2 linked regions of the Coturnix japonica genome follow. The main gene of each other region encodes a partner of the protein of the gene in region 2 in a complex. Links are inferred from orthologs where the notes say so. Each region holds a gene or a part of one and is shown on either strand. Other genes may lie near its edges.

Evidence for each region. The genes of interacting proteins can lie anywhere in the genome.
Region 1: SMARCC1 (region 2) and DPF3 share a complex: the UniProt entries of both Homo sapiens proteins name them as parts of the BAF complex. The link is inferred for Coturnix japonica from reciprocal best matches to the Homo sapiens genes SMARCC1 and DPF3.

Annotation. Positions count from the first base shown.
Region 1 is NC_029520.1:23,822,834-23,826,484, reverse strand, and holds part of DPF3 (zinc finger protein DPF3), read right to left. Parts: intron 685-3,651; coding exon 577-684; intron 1-576. UniProt on the Homo sapiens protein: Belongs to the neuron-specific chromatin remodeling complex (nBAF complex).
Region 2 is NC_029517.1:713,212-716,862, reverse strand, and holds part of SMARCC1 (SWI/SNF complex subunit SMARCC1), read right to left. Parts: intron 2,195-3,651; coding exon 2,069-2,194; intron 1,433-2,068; coding exon 1,314-1,432; intron 174-1,313; coding exon 49-173; intron 1-48. UniProt on the Homo sapiens protein: Involved in transcriptional activation and repression of select genes by chromatin remodeling (alteration of DNA-nucleosome topology).

The DNA.
Region 1 (3,651 bases), on a different chromosome or scaffold from region 2:
GTGTGGGAAGAGTACCAAGGACAATAGCAATGAAAGAAGAACAGACTAAGGTACGCATATAGGCATACACACATATACAAATGTGGCATAATTTTCACACATAAAAATATTTGCTAATTTTTATTTCCTGCTTCAGGAAATAGATTTCAGGCCACACCCCTGGTCCCTTTATGATAAATCTCCTCAGTGTAACATTCTTCACACACAGTGGTCTTCTCAAAGACTAGGTGGCAGATGACAGAGGAAGACTGATTAATAACACACTGAGGCAGGAATTAGCAAAAAATTGATCCTTTGCATCCCTATACATTTACTTGTGGATGCCCAGGATTCAGTCCGATGGAAGGTAAAATCAGCTCATTTCCTTCAGCACAAACCATGCACATTTCTGCAAGGCGTGAGTTAAGTACAGAGTTTAGTGGTTACTGGTACAGCAAACTAAGTTAAGGTGCAATAAATGCAAAGAGAAATGGATGGAGAGGGACAAAGATGGAGCCCAAGATCTAAATGCCAGGTTTGCGTGTATGCCAGCTGCTCTGCAGCACGGGAGAGAGAGAGAGGCAAACAAATACGTACCAGGTTTAATTTCCAGCAGCTTCAGCCTGGAATCCTCGGGAGGATGCAAACGCCTCTTTTTGCGCCAGCAACGTGCCGGGTATGTGTACAGCTGACCTGGGGCCAGGCCTGAAAATTAAAGGCAAGAAATAAAACATAATCACATTTCAGTCTGTAAACCACAAAGCACTGTCTCTAGCATCTTTTCCCTTGTCCTTTCAGCATCTCTTGTCAGAGGATTCAATCCTGCAAATTGTGAGGCAGAACTATGCTCTCAAGGCATCCAGCACTCCGGTGGTTCCTTGGCACCTCTAGGGATCAGGCCTACAGAGAATCTAGGTCTCACTCATACACTTCACTCAGCTCACTGAAACCAGAGCTGCACATAAATAATTTGTGATTCCTTCAGGGTAAATAGAATTTCAAGCTCTCTTGGGTCATGGGGTGATGTCTCCTCCATGGGCAGAGAAAGCGCCTTGGGAGAGAAGAGATGAAGTTCCGACACACAAATCATAAGGCCCTGGTATGCAGACCACCTCAGAAAATGTCTTCTAAGTGGAAGCAAACAAAAAATCCATGAGGTCTAGCTATTGGAATTCTGTATTTTCACTTAAATTCTGGAGTTCTGTTTAAAAACACCCTCATGCCCACGTCCTGAATGAGGGAGGAAATATGGCAGTAATGTTTATATTACTGCATGCTCCATTGATTCACATTTGGTGCTGCTGGCCTCTGAGCTGCCCTGGCTCTCATGATAGGCATCCCTTAGCCAATGCTCAAGCTATGCTTTGTTCTCGTGTATTCAGGACGCAGCAGGGCCCTGTGAATGCATTGCTACTAAGAACACAAAAGCACACTGCCAAGTTACTGCCCCAGTTACCCTTGATACCCAACAAGATTCAGAAATGCTGGAAGAATGTTGTTCTAGCCCCCGATTCCCCTGACCAATCTGTCTGCCACTTCTGCTTTTAGTCTTCTGCCTTCTGCTGTTAGTCTTGAAGGGGCTACAGAGCACAACTGAAGTTCCAAACCTACTGCCCCCAGAAAACAAGACAGAAAAGAAGACAGCAGTAATATTACCATATCTGAAATTGTACCACCAGTAAACAGATGGACATCATTTAGGCAGCACGAGTAAAGCAAAATAGCTCAAGATCAGCAGGATGGCTGAAATGCTTGCTCTCTGACATTCCCTCTGAAACAGCCTGGAGAGCATATAAGCTCAGGAACAAAACTGATTCATTGAGCCAAATGCAGACAACAAAAAAACAAAAACAATGAAACACAACAAATTTATTCACCTTTTCACCTCAAGGGAATGGGCTAATCATGTTCTACAAGCTCTTGGCTTGAAATAGTTGAGCTGTTGGGAATGCCAACAGTGTTCAGACTTCAACGATTTCCACCTGCTCCCTGGCCTTGGTGCGTAAATGGAACATCTACATCATACTGCCTGGGTATGGCCAAAAGATGGAATGAATGCTCACAGAGGTCCTGGCTGCCTCGGGTCACAGGGCATGCCTGGGGCTTTCCACACCCTTTTGTCGCTGCACAGATTCCTAGGCATTACGCCCAACACAAGAAGGATGCATCTTAGTGAGCAGCACATGTGACTGGTTTGAGAATAAAATGTGAATAACCAGTACTTCTACAGTGCTTGACACACTTCTTCGTGGCACTTTGCAAACATTAACCACTGCAAACAATTGCTATTATGGTGGTGTGGATTGTGCCTGCTCTGATGTGAGTCATTAAAGAGGTGGAGGCAAGATGCCCCACCCTTTCACAGTAGGTTCTGTTCAAAAATTTGCTCACAGCATTGAAAAGTGGGGTTGTTAGACTAAAGAAACAGGACAGAGAATGAGCCTTGCATTGCACAGACCTCCAGAGAGGAGTCCTTTGAATTAAGTGGGCACCACAGCTTTGAACATTTGTCCCAGACAGAGAAAAGCAAGGATCCACTGCAGTTTGGGGGTAACATCTGTTAACATGGGTTCAATTATTGTGAATTCACATATGAATTGGCAGTTCTAGACTCAGCTGAGACAACAAATGCCAAGTGCAAATGATGAAAGGCCAATGAGAAACACAGCAGGTATCTTTGAATAGATGAAAGTAGAGAATTCTCCTCCCTAGGGGAAATGCAGCCCACTCCGGGTGGCAGAAAGGCTCTACAGTTCCTCCAACACCAACACCCAAGGTTGTGGAGCTTTTTGTTTCCATTTGCCTGTAGACAGGATTTCAGGTCAGGAACACTAAATGAGAGTGAATCTGGCATACAAGACAAATACCAAGAAGGCTGGCAGAGAATTTCTGGAGATGTTCAAGTCTCTCTATTCCTTTTTTCAATATCCTTGCTCATTAATGCACAGCCATCCAGTGAACTAAGACAGATATCAAACTTTATCTTGATTCAAACTCATCAGATACCATCTTCAGTCCTCTGCCCTGATACCTATCTGTCTCCATACTGCCTCACGTGAAGCATGGACCGTCAACTGCTTACACAGAGGAGAAGCAATAATAAAAGGCTCTGTTCTGAACAGAATCTAGCCCCGGCACTGCTGATCTTGCAGGGAATATAGAAATAACACTTATGCACATCTTGTCTTTAGTCGTAGCTGAGCTGCATCTCCCTCTGGGGCCTTATAGGGCAACCAGAGAAGGTTCCAACCATTTGCTTATAGAGGAAATAGCAGAACCTGCAGTGAGTTATGTTGTTTATCTCATTAGTGTAGGAGAGTCATAACTCAGAGCTCCTGTGAAAGGCTGGGGGAGGAGGAGAGAAGAGGGAGGGAGTTATGTGCAGTATTGTGTGAAATTAACCCTGAACTGTTTATCATGAAGTGCAGTTTTCTGACTCCCTTAACAAAGAGGACAGTGAGAAACCAGGTTAATACACTGAGATCCCAACTCTCCTCTGTTTTTCAAACTCTCTGTAAAAGAAAATGGTTCCTGGATCTTTGCCATTTGTCTTTATACAGTTTTTCAGGTTACAGATAGTAAATGGCAATGAACATAGCCACCTTAGTATCCATCTTGTGTGCTGGTAACAAATTTTTGAAGATGTTCAGTATGAGCATAAGTACAATGTGT
Region 2 (3,651 bases):
ACAATTGCTTTACCATCCTTACAATACTGCCTTTTATTTGTAATTTACCATTTTTGGGAAGCACCACTTCTTCTATGTTAGGGACCGGTGTGGGATCCTCCATGTCCTTCGTAAGATCTTCTTGCTCATCTTCCTCCTTCTGCCCCCTCCTTTTCCCGTATATGGTTGCTTGTCTGAAAGAGATCATACACAAACCCTCCGACAGCTGCAACTGTCAGATGCATTCACCTTGATGTTCTCCTTCAGCAGACAGCAGATTAAAGGGCTGGCTTAAAACTCTTCAGGGAGAACAGCGCAGTAGGAGGCGGTGCTTGTGGAGTTAACAAAAACCAGGACCTGTGCATTACTACAATCATTTAGAAGGGCACCAGAGAGTCATTTTTGCAGCCTAACGATTCAGAACCGTCTCTTGGTTTCATATAAAGGATGGTCTTTTGCCATTGAATCTGGACTGCAGGACACTGCTGTCTCATCCTGACTGCAGCAGCACCTCCATGCCCATGAGATTTGGGGCAGCAGCGCTTTGCCTCTACTCCTCCTTTTCCAAGCTGCAATAAGGACATCTGCTGCACGGAACACAAGAGGCAACAGACCATTGCAAGGCCTGCTGCCTCATCTAAGGAACAAGCTGCCTTTATGGTCATTTCCACAACCAGATAAAGTCCCGCTGGGAACAAAGGTAGAATCACCCAGGCCCCAGCTTACAGAAGTTAAGCCAGACTTCACATCAGGGAAAAACCAGCAAGGATCAGTCCTTTATCTGACCATCTCATCTCAGACAGCAGACTTCCAGCACTGTCTGTCACTTCATGTTTTAAGAGCCCCACAGCACTGCTAAAGCAGCTCTGCATTTTTAACCACAGAACGGCCTGGGCTGCACAGGCCCACAATGCTCATCTCATCTCAACCCCCTGCTCTGTGCAGGGTTACCAACCAGCAGCCCAGACTGCCCAGAGCCACATCCAATTAAACACAGTGATCCCAGTGGCTCCCCTTCAGAACATACACGAGTAGCACTGCTTGAGCTGCCTTCAGCTACTTTAGAAGCACCTGAGAAAGTTTTCCTTAAGTTCTGCAGTCAGTGCAGCACCACGACCTGCTGCTGAGGAAGACAACATCAGGACCTGCACAGATTCTCCTCCACCCACAGGCAATGCACTTCCACACAGGAGCAAAGAAATGACCAGCACAAACCTGGCCTAGAGATAATGATTCTACCCTGACCCCAGGTGTGAAAAGCAACCTCAGACAGGGCTGCCCATAGGCACAGCTTCAAGAACATCAGCCCCAGCCTCCCTGAAGGAAACACTCACCCTTTCTTCCCTGATTTTTTTCTTGACTCCACAGGAGTGGGGGGTGGAGAAGGAGAATGCTTCCTCTTCCGTGTGCTGGCTGCTGCTTTCCTGTCCCTCCTCTCAGGACTGCGCACAGGCTGCAAGAGAAACGAAGGCGTCAGCTCATCCCCAGTACCACAGTTATTGAAATGCTGCAGGCTAGTCTTCCTTATTACACCTTACAACAAAGGAGCTGAAAGCAGCATTGCAGTGAAGGCCATCCTCAGCTCCAAACACACGTTTGTCAAGGTGAAATAATATAAGTTTTTTTATAACCATCCCCTGGATATTGCAGGAGCTGCCTACGTAACTGTGCGCCTCGAGCAGGACTCAGCAGCTAATACATGATACACTCAATGTACTCTACCTGTCAGGAAGGTTCTCCTGACCTCGAGGTTAAATGAACACTCTCAGAGCTCTATCAAACCTTCAGCATCAGGAAGAACATGAAATGAGGGTATGTGGAAATGAATGGATGCCGTCCAACGCACCCCTGCTTTCATTTAAAGAAAGTACAAAGCGAGTCACTTCTATTGTCACCTTTGGGAAGGGACATAGGAATAATAAAAGGGAACAACAGTTTTGGATAAATGGCACATCAGGGGGAATCCAAACTAAGCTGTACTACCACAGGTGCCTGAATGCATCCAGCTTGATTGAATTGCAGTGGCTTTTGCAGAGAGAGGGAATATTAACACACCACCAGGTCACACAGGGAGCTGAGAGCCACCTACCTCTTCATTCTTCATGGAGATTCTCTGCCGAAAACTCACAGATTTCCTGTTCTCATCCACCTCATAATCCTCTTCATTCATCCATTCGTTGAATATATCTGTGTCCAAAATCCACTTGGCATGAACCTAAAGAACAGAAATGAGGGACGCCAGGCTGAGTGGTGCGGTTGATACAGCAGAATGAAGGGATGCCATGCAGAGGGACCTTAACAAACTCCAAAGGTGGGCCCATGTGAACCTAACGAGGATCGACACAGCAAAGTGCAAGGTGTTATGCATGGGTCTGAGGAGTCACAGACACAGACTGCGAGAAGAGCTCCTTGAGAGCAGCCCAGCTGAGAAGGACCTGGGGGTCCTGAGGGTGAAAAACTGACCACGAGCCAGCAGTGTGTGCTTGTAGCTTGGAAAGTAAATGGGATCCTGGGCTCCATCAGCAGAGGGGTGGCCAGCAGGGACAGGGAAAGGATCGTCCCTCTCTGCTCTGCTCTCGGGAGGCCCCATCTGCAGTGCTGCGTCCAGAGCTGGGGCCCCCAATACAGGAAAGACAGGGAGCTGTTGGAGAGGGTCCAGAGGAGGCCACAAAGATGCTCAGAGGCTGCAGCACCTCCACGACAAAGACAGGCTGAGGGAGCTGGGCTTGTTCAGCATGGAGAAGAGAAGGGAAGGCTGCGGGGTGAGCTCAGTGCAGCCTGCCAGTATTTAAAGGGAGGTTATGAGAAGGAGGGAAACCAACTTTTTGCAAGCATAAATAGTGACAAGACAATGGGGAATGGTTTTAAACCAGAGAAGATTTAGATTAGTCGTCAGGGAGAAGTTTTTCCACAGACAGAGTGGGGAGGTGCTGGAACAGCTGCCCAGAGGGGCTGTGGATGCCCCATCCATCCATGGAGGTGTTGAAGGCCAGGCTGGATGGGGCCCTGGACAGTCTAATCCAATACTTGATGCAGTGCTTGCAGCCCTGCCTGCAGCAGGGGGTTGGACCTTGGTGATTCTTGATGTCCCTTCCAACCCAAGGCAGCCTTTCATTCTATGATGGTTCTAGGAACATACTGACATGGTGCTTTTTGCAAGTAGTCTCTTGTCAACAGACCTTGCTATTAGGATCTGAAGTTACACATCTCACAGGACTTTTATACATATGAAGTGACAGTTCCATGAGGCCATGCTATACAGGCTGGACGTGCTGTAAGCCTGCTGAATGCCATGTCTGCTCCTCTGTCATTTTAAGTCATCTCAAGTGTGAGGTCAGCTCTCACAGCTGGGGCAATGGCTCTGCATTAAAAGCACACTTCAGACACCGAAATTCCTCCCAGAATCCAGCAAGTATGACACAGATTGATTTATACACAAAAAGCTTAAGTCCCATTTACTTACAAGCAGCAGTTTGGAATAGGGAGTGTCTGAACAGGCATCACATGGAGTTATTTTCTGACCTGAGCTGCCCTTTCCTAACTCTGCTATTCACATTAACAGCACAGATACAGAACAACACTGCATGTGATGCATAAAAGAGTAAGTCCAATAATAGGACGCTAAGTAGTATTTACTGCTGTTTGTGACTGCTTTGTATTGTCCTCTTGCAG